Macaca mulatta: one gene and its partners. The protein of the gene in region 1 interacts with the protein of each later gene in a pairwise test. Links are inferred from orthologs where the notes say so. Each region holds a gene or a part of one and is shown in the gene's direction. Other genes may lie near its edges. The genes, in order: DMC1, KCTD17 and NIF3L1.

Region 1 (4,314 bases):
TATTATGAACATTTCTCTCTCCCAGCTGTCACTACACCAAACTACATATGTTATATTTCCCTAAATCATCTTGCTGTGCTCTTTGCAGCTCTTCTGTAGACTGTTGATGTCTTCACCTAACGAGTTGCTCAAAAGTTCCCATAATTATTTAGGTGAGGCCTCAGAGTGAAAGCCTTTCATCACTATCCAGTTCCTTCCCCAAATGGGCATTCATTTCCATATAACAGGGACGGCTATGTTTGGGCGAAAATAACAGATTTGGAAGCACAATGGCAGTTATTTGTTGGATCTTGAAACGATCCACCTGTTGGGGGCGGGGGAGCGTCCTACACAAAAATGCCAACTGCTATTGTGGGAATGTTTTGCTATTTATTCCAGCAAAATGATTCAGACAGAAAAAACAAAAAAGGATCGCCCTGTACTAGGTCTTGAACCCAAAGAACTGTTTGCACAGAGATTCATCCAAGATACATCACAGCCTCCACCTCGGCAGCTGCTCTCTCAAATGTTTCCTGACTCTCCTCAAGTCAGTCTCCGCGTGAGGGGAGGAGGAGGACGCTGCCAGCGATGGCGCTGCTGGCACGAAGGCTGGCCTGCGACTTCTATTTAAAAGCCGAACCAAAATATACTTGGCGTCTGTGGTCTATTTAAAACTTCAAGTTAAGACAGAGAAAAAAATTACTCTCCATCCTGAATGGGCCTTGGGTATCTCAATCACAGACAAGAGTGGCAAATGGTGAGAGTCAGAAAGTGGGAAATTAGGAACGCTGAGGGAGCACGGCCAAACTCTGAAGCCAGGCATGAAAACCCGGAGGCGAAAGAGAAGTCACGGGCAGCGGCGGCGGGGGGAAAGGGGCCCGGATTCGACCTTCTAACCCAAGGCTCCATCTGCGACCCTCGCGACCAAGACCTATTGCCAACGTCAGCCACCTCTGCTCAGCGCCCCTCCCCCGATTCAAGGCGTCCTCCTCAGAACCCTTGCCTCAGGGTCCTCTCCCGGACTTTAGCGAGGTGCTCAGTTCGAGGGACGCCCCAGCTCAACGGTCTCCTCCCTTCAAGGCCCCGCTCCTCAGGGCGCTCCCTCCACAGCGCCCCTCCCTCACTCCCTCACCTCAGCGCGCCACGCGCCGGAGGCTCCTCTTGGTTTCCCGCCCCTCAGTCCTCGCCCCGCCCCCTCGCCCTGCGCCCTGCCCCGACTCTCCCCTCGCTACGCCCCCTGCAGGCCACGCCCTCTGGTTCCCCCAACTGTGAGCCCGCTCTTCCCCCGCCCCTCCTTCTTCGCCCCGCCCCCATAGCTCCCCTCCCCGCGTCGCCCCCTGTGGGCCCGCCCGCTCCCCGCCCTTCCACCCTCACCTCGCCTCCTCAGGCTGCGCCCCGCCCCGGCCCCTTGGTCCTCGCCCCGCCTTCCTCATTTGGCGCCAAATCCTGTGGTCAACGGCGCGCGGGTTTCCAGGCTCCGCGTTCTGGGCCCGAGTTAGAATCCTGTCAGCTGAGGACTGGAAAGGTCGGGCGGGGGCAGAGGGGCTTCACCTTGAAAATCTCGGGGAGACTGTGGGTACGAGGGGGGTAAGTGGCATAAACGGACAGCGTGCGAAGACTGAGCGGACGCTCGTTTTGAGAAGGCGCGCTTCCCTTTCTCGCTCTTTTTTTTGGGGTTCCCGGGCTAGCGACTCTGAGCGTTCCGCTCCGACCCCTGGGGAGGAATTTTAGTGACCTTGAGGGATTTCCAACCTCCTTATTTTCAATCTAATCGGACCTAAGTCTAGGAGAGCCCGCCTCATCCTCCTGACCAGGGAATCCCCTGTCAGGAAAATGTCCGGCGGCCGCACGGGGTCTGCCCAGGCCTCCTGTTGAGGGAGGCGTCGAGGGCGACCCGACCGCGCTGCTGCCCCCACCAGAGGGGACAGCTGGGTGGTCTTAAACCGGGGGATTGGGGAGCCCTGCCTTCAAGCCAACCGTTCAGTCCATCGACGGCTCTTTGAGAGATGGGGGACAATCTTTTCATTTCATCACGGGGAGAAGAAATGGATGTTTTTTTCTTCGATGGGGGCAGTAAATGTGGAATTGGGGTACTCATAGCTAGCCATCTGAAGGACAGTGTCCCCGAAGATCCCATCCGAACGGTCTCGGTTGCCTTCCATCCTTTGCGGTTTGAGGTGCTGGGTGGTAGGACCCTGCTCCTGCCTTCGTATTAATAGTTCGTTCCCTTTGTTCTAAGGTCCAACCCCTGACTTTGGTATCAAATGAGGAAATGGAATCGACCAAGAAAAATGATTATTTGTACCGCATTTTATTGTAATAAACACAATCACGCCTTGTGGATTCCTGAGATTTCTCTTTGGGTCTACAATGTTAAAAACTTTAACTGCTTATCAGCCTTACTATAATATTATGATCCACCAATTTTTTTTTTTTTTTTTTTTTTTTTTTTTTTTTTTTGAGACTGAGCCTCTTACTGTCGCCCAGGCTGGAGTGCAGTGGCGCAATCTCGGCTCACCGCAACCTCCGCCTCCCAGGTTCAAGCGATTCTCCTGCCTCAGCCTCCCAAGTAGGTGGGATTACAGGCGCCCACCACCATGCCCGGCTAATTTTTTTTGTATTTTTAGTAGAGACGGGGTTTGGCCAGGCTGGTCTCGAACTCCTGACCTTGTGATCTGCCCTTCTTGGCCTTCCAAAGTGCTGGGATTACAGGCAGTGAGCCGCCGCGCCCGGCCCACCATATTTTTAAATCTTAAAAAAAATCATGAAACTAGTAAATACTGTGAAAGAAAGTATAGCTAATGTTCTATGAAACAAAAAGGTAGGTGTTACAGGAGTACCCATTCATAATCAGCAGACAGGAAGGCATTCATCATAGATGAGAAAAATAAAATCCATTTATTGAGGACAAAGTTGGAGGTGCCAGGGAGGACACAAGGAAGAATGATATATTGTCAAGGTTCTTAGAGTTTTGTTGTTAAACATAAACAAGAAAGATTAAAAGCAATAAGCAATTTTAAATAACATTTCTTTTTTTTTTTTTTTTGAGACGGAGTCTCGCTCTGTCGCCCAGGCTGGAGTGCAGTGGCCGGATCTCAGCTCACTGCAAGCTCCGCCTCCCGGGTTTACGCCATTCTCCTGCCTCAGCCTCCCGAGTAGCTGGGACTACAGGCGCCCGCCACCTCGCCCGGCTAGTTTTTTTGTATTTTTAGTAGAGACGGGGTTTCACCATGTTAGCCAGGATGGTCTCGATCTCCTGACCTTGTGATCCGCCCGTCTCGGCCTCCCAAAGTGCTGGGATTACAGGCTTGAGCCACCGCGCCCGGCCTTAAATAACATTTCAAGGCAGTAATAAAGTCATGATTAGCTGTGCAATGGAAACCAGATGATAAGTGATCACTATTGGGGAAAGAGAAGAAACTAATCACCCCCCAATTTGCCCCTCAGGCACCTGTGTGCATGTGGGGACACGCACACACACACATGCACACACAAACACACACACAAGAAATAATGCCACATGCCTCACAGAAAGAAGATAGACTGGCCTAGTCTTTCCAAGTTAAATGCTTCTCTTATTGTCCTTCTAGTCCTTGGTGACTTTGAAATGAAATCAGAGGCCCCTGGACAAAGGACTACTTCTTACATAATATTTCTTTTTTTCCCAGAAGTGATTATTTTTCTTTTGCTCACCTTTCAACATGAAGGAGGATCAAGTTGTGGCGGAAGAACCAGGATTCCAAGATGAAGAGGTATGACTAGAATGTTGAAAGATACATAGATATTCGGTCATTCCACAAAAATCAAGTTCCTTCTCTGTTAGCTACTATTTTTAGAAACTGAAAGTAGAAATAACACATAGTTATATATTGCAAATATGCAACAACTTGTTTGGCAAGGATGCTAAGATTAGCTACTTAGCAACTGGTATGAAAGTATTTTAATAACTTAACAGCTGGTATGGCCATACTGATACCTGTATACACTGGTACCGAATAGCAGCCTGGTCCTAGAGGAAGGAGTTTAGGATCTGGAGGGGAAGAGGGTTGAGAAAACATATTTAAAATAGGTCAAATGTTGTTCCAGTCCTTTGGGTAAAGGTTTCAAAATTTTAGGGAGGACATGACAAAGGTAACTGGTTTCCCAGCCCTTTCAATGTTGGTGCTTCTAAGTATGTGTTTGAAAAACAGTATTGATCTTTCCTCAATCTCTAGAGAAGTGGAATTTGAGGCATTTTGGAGTGACTCATAGTATTGAATTACCTCTTTAAAAGATGTGAAATAGCTGGATATGAAGAATCAAAGCTTCATTTTTTTCTGTTTCATCTCCTTTAGG
Region 2 (4,217 bases), about 1.5 Mb from region 1:
GTTCCATTTGGCAAGGCAGAAAGCCAAGGCTCAGAGAGGAAGTTGCTCAGGACACACCTGGTGAATTTTAAGTAGCAGGATTCCAGTACACCTTTGATCCACTCCCTGCCAAGGAGAAAAGCTTTATGCAGAAACCAGGGCATTGAGTGGTAACAGGGAAACTTCTCCCAATACAGGGCCAGGATGCCCAGTGTTCAGGCTAGCTGTGTGTGACATTGGATCAGTGAGGGGAGCCTCTCCCACATAGGCCAGGACCAGGACTGAAACCAGTAAGGAGAGGAAGCTAAGGAAACAGCTTCCTTGTCAGCCTCTGTCCCTCCCTGGTCCCAGACCACATGGTGGGGTCCCTTTCCCCATCCTGAGGTCCACAGAATGACAGTCCCCCTCCAAGTTAACTGGGAAATAACTCAGAAAGCCACCCGCAGAACTAATCCCTCCTCCTGCTTGGGGAGGACTTGGAAAAACTGAGAACAGCCAAAAGCCAGAATGGAAACTCAGTTCTCCTGACTGGGATCCAGGGCCTGCTCTACTCTTCCTCCTTAGAAGTCCTTCCCAAGGATCCCTGACATTCCATGGTCGGGGAGCAGGAAAGAGGCCTTGGCGGGTACTCACTCACCAGCTATGTGAGTAGAGCGGTCACTTAGCTTCTGTGGCTTCATCTGTAAAATGGGTATATCCCAAAATACCAGACTCACAGGGCTGCTGAGAGCTTAAATGAATAACACACTTACGCAAAGTGTCTGGCATACAGGTGCTCAGCCAACCTCAGGTCCAGCTATGTCGTTCTCCAAGAACTTAGATGAAGGAAAGAACCCACTCCCACCCACCCCGCCCCCACCCCGATACACACAACGGGCAAATGAAAAAATATGACGAAACACATGCGGGTCAATGCTATGGGGATTCCTCGTCGGGGAAGTTTCTTCCCTTATCAGCAGTTGGATGACGCAGATGGCACAAAGGAAAAACAAAAACGCTCGGACCAATGGGAAGACTGCGATTTGGGGAAGCACTCATTCTTTTCCCAGAGTTCGGGAGTTCGACCTTCCCCATACACAGTGATTTAGCTTCACTAGCCCAGACTGCGGGCCTGCAGGGAAGGGCGAAGCGGGGCGGGACCGGGGGCGGGAGCTGCGCGAGGAGGGAGCAGCGCGGGGCGGGAGCAGCGCGGGGCGGGAGCAGCGCGGGGCGGGACCCTCCCCGCGGCCCACGCGGAGCCAGGAGGCGCGGACTACAGCTCCCGGCCTGCCCCGCGCGTGATTCCCTCCCGCCCCCCGCGCCCGGGAGGAGGATGCAGACGCCGCGGCCGGCGATGAGGATGGAGGCCGGGGAGGGAGCGCCGCCGGCGGGGGCGGGCGGCCGCGCCGCAGGCGGCTGGGGCAAGTGGGTGCGGCTCAACGTCGGGGGCACGGTGTTCCTGACCACCCGGCAGACGTTGTGCCGCGAGCAGAAGTCCTTCCTCAGCCGCCTGTGCCAGGGGGAAGAGCTGCAGTCGGACCGGGTGAGGCCCCCGGGGTGGGCGGCGAGCGGGCGGTGGGTCCTCTGCTGGCCCGACGCAGGGCTGTCGGGCCTGGCTCGCCCGCCAGGCTGGGGACCCGGCTGCGTTCATTTCCGAGGAACTGGAGGCGGGAAGAAGCGGCAGGAGGAGGGAAGGGGGAGGTGGGTCTGGTAGTGAGGGATGTGCCCATTGCCGTGGCAACGGGACACCGCAGGTCGCGGCCATTAGAAGCTCTCCAGCCGCCCTGGATCGGGGTCTCACCTTCTCCTTTGGGGCAGTGGACAGGGAGATACCTGGGGCCTTTCCTCCCTCCCAAAGGGGACTCCTGCTCTGGGGAAGGAGTCGACGAGGCTACTTCTCCTGCCCTTTGGGATGTGGGTGGCGGAGGGGTGCAGGGAGCTAGCTGGATGGAGGAGCCCTGGGGCGCCTTTTGAGCGGGCTGAATCTAGAAGGAGCGCTGGCCCAGCGGGCACTGTTTCTGAGCACCCACCCTGACTCTGCTGCACGCTGCCTGCTGCGACCTTGGGTCGGACCCTTCCCTGCACTGCGCTCAGCCTCCTTCCTCATCTGTAACACGAAGGGCTGGTCTGAAGATGACCTCTAAGGTCTCCTGTCCCCCATCCGTGACCTTCCGATGCTGTGGCCTTTGGCAAGTCGCCTCGCCTCTCAATGTCTCCCATCTCTCTGTAGAGTCGCATGGAAGCCCACTCTGCCTCCCTGCCTGCCTGAATGTCCAGTGAGATAGTGGCTTCTTTGGAAACTTGTAAACATTCCCTGAAAGCCTGGGGACCTGGGGGCGACAGTGGGGCTGGCATCAGGGGACAGCTTCTAAGAGGGACATTCTCTGAGCCCTGTGCTGGCCCAGTTGCCACTCAGACCTCCTGTCACCAGATGCTCACAGCGACCCCTGATGATGAGGAGAGGAGTGAGGCTCAAAGAGGCCAAATCATTAGCCTAAGGTCACACATTCAGGAAAAGTCAGAAGCAGGGTTTGAACTCAGGTCCACCTGACCCCAGTGCCTTTTTGCTCCTTTGTGCCTGCTCCATCCAGGGAAGAGCTCTCCCTGGACTCGCTTCCCTCCCTGTGCATGTGTGGGGTTGGCCTGGGAGAGGCCTCACTCTTCGCTCACGGAGCATCCCTCACCTCCATAGGATGAGACCGGGGCCTACCTCATTGACCGTGACCCCACCTACTTCGGGCCCATCCTGAACTTCCTCCGGCATGGCAAGCTGGTGCTGGACAAGGACATGGCTGAGGAGGGTGAGTTGGTTCAGGGGACTGGCCTGGGGCCCACATCCTAGCCCGGCCCTCTGCAGCCTGCCAGGGCCCTCTGTGGAGGCCCCAAGCCATTTGGACAACCAGGATGGCCGTCTGCCTGCTTCGTTGTTTCCTGCCTCTTCCCATCCGGACGAGTCTGATTCCCAAGCATCTGCCTGTGCCCAGCCTGGGGCTCTGCCAAGCGGACGGGCTCAAGCTTTCCCAGGGTGCTGTCAGGGAGGTGACAAAGACACACGCGCAGGGGATAGAGGAAGTCAGCAATGCCCTGTGGCCTCTGCGGTGGGCTGTGATGCCCTTTCTCTCTGGCCTCCTAGGAAGCCAGATGTGGACCGTCACATCCGGAGGCTGGGGTGACAGGAATTTGGTGTTGACAGGCATGGGGAGAGCGCTCTCTCTCTCTTTCTCTGGCTGATCCAGTATCTCCAATTCTGCCTGGTGAGGGCTTGTAAGTGGGTGGAGCGGGTGACTGTTCACTAAGTCTGGCAGCCTGTGCGGCACAGTGCTGGTTGTGGGTGGAGGCAGGGGAGGGGGGAGTCTGCTTCCCAGTGGGGCTTTGGTTATCCCCAGGCCTAGGTGGCAGGGGCCCTGGATATGCCCATATCTGGGCCTAACAAACAGTGGGGAAGCCGTGTCTGGAAGAACGACCTGTTAGCAGAGCCCCAGCCAGGGGCAAGGACTAGAGTCAATGCCAAGTTAACTCTTCTTTGGGACACAGGGTGTGGCTCTGGGTCAGCTGATCCAGCCAGACCAGCTTGAACATGTCACTTCTCCTCGCTGCGTCTCCACTGGTATCTGTTAAATGGGGGCGGTGATCTGCCTCCTGGAGGGAGATGTCATGAATCCTGTGCACAGACAGCACCTGCATCTGTGCATGCCTTCCTGCTCTGGGCCATGGTCTGCCCTCCCTGAGCCCTATGGGACACAGTGGTCTGGAGGCCCAGCAACTCTCTAGCAGGTCAGGGCCGCAACACCAGAGTCCACTGTGGGTACCTGGCCCTGCAGAACCCCACAGCTTCCCTGTTAATCCCTGTGGGAGCACAGATACCATGGGAGTGGCCTAGGCTCAGGAGCAGGCCCCGCCGGGAAGGAAGTAAACACCCAAGCTGCGTCACAGCCAGCACCTGTTTACACGCCCTGCGTTCTCAAAGCCCTGCTATTCCCACACCTGCAGACAGGCCTGTCCGGGACTAGAGGATCAGACAGGGCTATCCGGGGGCTAGGGGATCACGCAGGCCTGTCCGGGGGCTAGGGGATCACGCGGGCCTGTCCGGGGGCTAGGGGATCACGCGGGCCTGTCCGGGGGCTAGGGGATCACGCGGGCCTGTCCGGGGGCTAGGGGATCACGCGGGCCTGTCCGGGGGCTAGGGGATCACGCGGGCCTGTCCGGGGGCTACGGGATCACGCGGGCCTGTCCGGGGGCTAGGGGATCACGCGGGCCTG
Region 3 (4,324 bases), on another chromosome or scaffold:
GTACCCTTTGCATATGCTGTTTTCTTTGGTTAGAATGCCTTTTCCTTGTTCTTCTTGTGATAAGTGAGCACCCCCTCTGAGAAGCCTTCTCTGACACTGTCCTGCTTCTGCCTCTTGTGGGTCCCTGTCACTTTGTCCTTGATCTCCAGTGTGCACTTCTGTTGGACAGTAATTGGCTCCTGGGCCTTACACTCTCTCCTTAAGGATACTACCTAATAGGTCCTGGCTAATTTTTATTGAAAGAATTACTTCACGTAGTTACTACTCAGGAATGTGACCAAACATGGCCCATTATACCTGCAAAGGATTTGAAGACATTTTAATGGGTTGCCAGTTTGTTTACCTCCTCCTTCTTAGGGTTAGGAGAGAATGAGTTAAAGAATTACTTTTCCCACTTCGAGGACCAGGCTCTAGACTCTTAGCCCTCTGGCCATTCCTTTGGCTACTTCCATGCTTCCCTTGCCTCCCACACCCATGCCTTGTTGTGTAGCACACTCTCTTACAAAGGCTGCTGCACTGAAAGCATTGTCACATCCCGAAGTACCAAGGAGCAGCATCTGAGAAAGCCTGATGGAACTGCTCTAAACCAATAAATTGATTAAAAAAAAAAAACATGTATGTGACTATTACCTGTTTTCCATTCTTCTGAAGATAAAAGATTTTTGTAAGTCCTTAAATTTCTACCAGATTAAAGTGAAATTTCAATATGAATATCTTACAGCATTGTGTCTGGCTATTTTAAAATTCATTTTAGCATTTTACTTAGAAGGAATTTCAGACCTATGCAAAAGTTGCAAGAATAGTACAATGAATTCCTATGTGCTCTTCACCTTGGTTACTAATGGTTATATTCTGCCATATTTGTACATTCTTTATGTACATATTATATATGTGTCTGTATACATTTGTGTGTGCATATATAGATATATAATATATAATATACAAGTTAAAATTTTTATATATATATATATATATATATAGATGTATTTCCCCCAGGACCATTTTAGAAATCGATTGCAGACATGACAATTTCTTTACCTCTCAATATTTCAGTGTATAGTCTTCTAAGAACAAAGACATTCTAAGTCTATAGAACAATTATCAAATGAGGGAATTTAATATTGTTAAAACATTTACTTGATATACAGTCCATATTCACATTTTTCCAGTTGATAAAAGTTTATAGTATTTCTTTTTCTGATCCATATCCAGCCCATGATCTCACATTGCATTTAGTTGTTGTTAGTCTCCTTCAGTCTGGAATAGTTCCTCAGCTTTGTCTTCATAACACTGACATTTTTAAAAGAGTATAGGCTCTTTGTTTTGTGCTTCTCGCTCAATTTGGGGTATCTATTTCCTCATAAATACTTTTTTAAAAACTAGTTTTTAAAAAAAGTGATAAAATATAATGATATGTTCATAAAATAAATTCAGGCAGTTCCAAAATGTTAAAATGTCCTTCCTATCTCGCTGTGGGGAGAAAAAGAAAATATTACCTGGCTAGCATTAGATGTCTCTGGTCTGTGAGGCATTGCTTTTGAGTGTAACTTCAGAGATGCAAAGCCCCTCCTAAAGGACCTCTGCTGAACTTCATCACGCTCCCTGTGAGTCTGAGGCCGTGTTCTCGTTGTATTAGGTTGTTAAGGGTAACACCCTGTAAGACCAGCAGATGGGGAGCCTGCTCCTTGCAAATGTAAGTTCTCTCATTTGTCATTTCATTCTCCATTTGCTTTTCCTTTCCCAAGCTGCCATCCTGGGCCAAGCTTTTCTTTCCGTTGGCTTCAGCAATTATTGCAGGGTCTTCACAGATTTCCCCCCTTTCATGCCTTCTCCGGCCAATGAGTTTGTCACAGTACAGGCAGCCAGACTTATCTTTCCTAAAACAAGGCTTCCAACTGGGTCATCTTAGTGTCTTTTTCTTGCTTTTTACTTTTACTATTATAGATTAAGATGTTTTAAAAAGTGCTCGAATAAAAATTATTCCTTATAATGAGATGACACTTACTAGAAGAGTGTGGGGAACTGAAAAATTCTGGAATTAAGAAAACTTATTTTTTACTTACAGATGTTTTCTTGTGGGAAAATTAGAGAAAAAACTCAATTTTTTTTCTAAGAACCTTTTTTTTCTTAAATTTGTATGCCCTTCTGTCTCTAAATACAGTTCAAAATTGTACTTTCTAAAGAACAAACCAAATTGTACACAGTGCAGTTTTGCTCTTAAATTACAAGTCATCAAATTCACAAACTGCATTTTTAAAAATTCAGAATATTAGGCTGGACACGGTGGCTCACACCTGTAATCCCAGCACTTTGGGAGGCCGAGGCGGGCAGATCACTTGAGCCCAGGAGTTCGAGACCAGCCTGGCCAACATGGCAAAACCCCGTCTCTACTAAAAATACAAAAATTAGCCAGGCTTGATGGTGGGTGCCTGTAATTCCAGCTACTCGAGAGGCTGAGGCAGGAGAATCACTTGAACCCAGGAGGCAGAGGTTGCAGTGAGCTGAGATTATGCTATTGCACTCCAGCCTGGGCAATAGGACAAAACTCCATCTAAAAAAATAAATACAAATATAAATAAATTAAAAATTCAGAATATTTGAGTTTTCCCCAAATCTTTTCACAACAGATGAGATTCCCTCCAGAGTTTCTAGGGATTTTGCTTAAGTCAAAGAAAAATACTTTGTTTTAATCTGGAAATAATCTTAAATTCATTTCATCCTTGTATATTAGACTAAGTTGACGACAGAAATACTAGTGCTTACAAAGCCTAAGTCTGCTGGGCAGTATACACAGAATGTCCTCCAGAGGTATTTATTACATAAGAGGCAGATTTTCTGAAGGCCTCATTTTACTTAGCAGTGGTCATTCTCTCTACGGTGGAAACACAGTAAAATGGGTGTTTACAGATCTGGTTCTGGCCAGATATGTTGGATTGGACGATTGCCTTGGGGTCTGCCAAGGAAAAAGAAGTTGGAATTCTCAATGGGATGGCTTTTATTTTTATTTTATTATATTTTCAAGACAGAGTCTTGCTCTGTCACCCAGGTTGAAGTGCAGTGGTGCAATCTCGGCTCACTGCAACCTCCAGCCCCCATACTGAAGCAATTCACCCGCCTCAGCCTCCTGAGTAGCTGGGATTACAGGCGCACGCCAGCACACCCAGCTAATTTTTGTGTTTTTAGTACAGATGGAGTTTCACCATGTTGGCTAGGCTGGTCTGGAACTCCTTAGCTCAGGTGACCCCCCTGCCTAGGCTTCCCAAAGTGCTGGGATTACAGGCGTGAACCACCGTGCCCAGACCTTTCTCTGTTTTTAAGTTGGAGGACATAAAAGAAAACTGTACAGTACTTTCTAGATTTATAACAGTTCTGCTGTATTACATTCACTTTATATAGAATATAAACTTGGTATTTCTGCTTTTGTGTTTCCTCATTCCACAGATTCCATATCTAGCATTTAAGAATTTGCTGTTTCCTTTTTGGTAGGTGAGATGTCCCATCATGATATTTTGGATGCTGCTTCCCAAGGAATAAATGTCATCCTCTGTGAACATAGCAACACTGAACGAGGCTTTCTTTCTGACCTTCGAGATATGCTGGGTTCTCACTTGGAGAATAAGATAAATATTATCCTATCAGAGACTGACAGGGACCCTCTTCAGGTGGTATAATTGCAGAAACATCAGGATAACACATTGTACAAATTAGTTGGATGCCAACTTGAATTTGTAACATGAGTCAGTGGGACTAGTGTGCTTCTAGAAGAGTGTCTTAGAGGGTATGATCATTTCCGGTTTGTTAATCTGATTCACCAAACATTCTTTTTTTTCCTTTTTTTTTTTTGAGATGGAGTCTCGCTCTGTCACCAGGCTGGAGTGCAGTGGCGCGATCTTGGTTCATTGCAACCTCTGCCTCCCAGGTTCAAGCAGTTCTTCTGCCTCAGCCTCCTGAGCAGCTGGGACTACAGGTGTGTGCCACCGCACCCAGCTAATTTTTGTATTTTTAGTAGAGACGGGGTTTCACCATGTTGGCCAGGATGGTCTGGATCTCTTGACCTCGTGATCCACCCGCCTCGGCCACCCGAAGTGCTGGGATTACAGGCGTGAGCCACCACGCCCTGCAGATTCACTAAATGTTCTATCGCTCATACAGTAAAACTGTAATGTAACTACCACATTAAATAACAAGTATTCATATAAAATCTAGGAAAGATTGAATAAAATCTGTTTACTTAACATTCTTTGGAAGCAGCTCAAGTGATTCTCTCCTTAGTTTAATTGTAGATGGGATGGGATGGATCCATTTGGGTATCTTTGCCCTTGCT

The links.
Region 2: the proteins of DMC1 (region 1) and KCTD17 interact in binary tests that used the Homo sapiens proteins (3 or more experiments, as listed by UniProt). The two-hybrid records come from large-scale screens. The link is inferred for Macaca mulatta from reciprocal best matches to the Homo sapiens genes DMC1 and KCTD17.
Region 3: the proteins of DMC1 (region 1) and NIF3L1 interact in binary tests that used the Homo sapiens proteins (3 or more experiments, as listed by UniProt). The two-hybrid records come from large-scale screens. The link is inferred for Macaca mulatta from reciprocal best matches to the Homo sapiens genes DMC1 and NIF3L1.

Annotation. Positions count from the first base shown.
Region 1 is NC_133415.1:12,961,494-12,965,807, forward strand, and holds the start of DMC1 (meiotic recombination protein DMC1/LIM15 homolog), read left to right. Parts: upstream 1-1,412; 5' UTR 1,413-1,566; intron 1,567-3,647; 5' UTR 3,648-3,680; coding exon 3,681-3,731; intron 3,732-4,313; coding exon 4,314-4,314. UniProt on the Homo sapiens protein: Participates in meiotic recombination, specifically in homologous strand assimilation, which is required for the resolution of meiotic double-strand breaks.
Region 2 is NC_133415.1:14,498,423-14,502,639, reverse strand, and holds the start of KCTD17 (BTB/POZ domain-containing protein KCTD17), read left to right. Parts: upstream 1-1,287; 5' UTR 1,288-1,291; coding exon 1,292-1,501; intron 1,502-2,650; coding exon 2,651-2,759; intron 2,760-4,217. UniProt on the Homo sapiens protein: Substrate-adapter for CUL3-RING ubiquitin ligase complexes which mediates the ubiquitination and subsequent proteasomal degradation of TCHP, a protein involved in ciliogenesis down-regulation.
Region 3 is NC_133417.1:106,005,731-106,010,054, forward strand, and holds the end of NIF3L1 (NIF3-like protein 1), read left to right. Parts: intron 1-1,636; coding exon of another isoform or gene 1,637-1,644; exon of another isoform or gene 1,645-1,693; intron 1,694-3,486; coding exon 3,487-3,671; 3' UTR 3,672-3,810; downstream 3,811-4,324. UniProt on the Homo sapiens protein: May function as a transcriptional corepressor through its interaction with COPS2, negatively regulating the expression of genes involved in neuronal differentiation.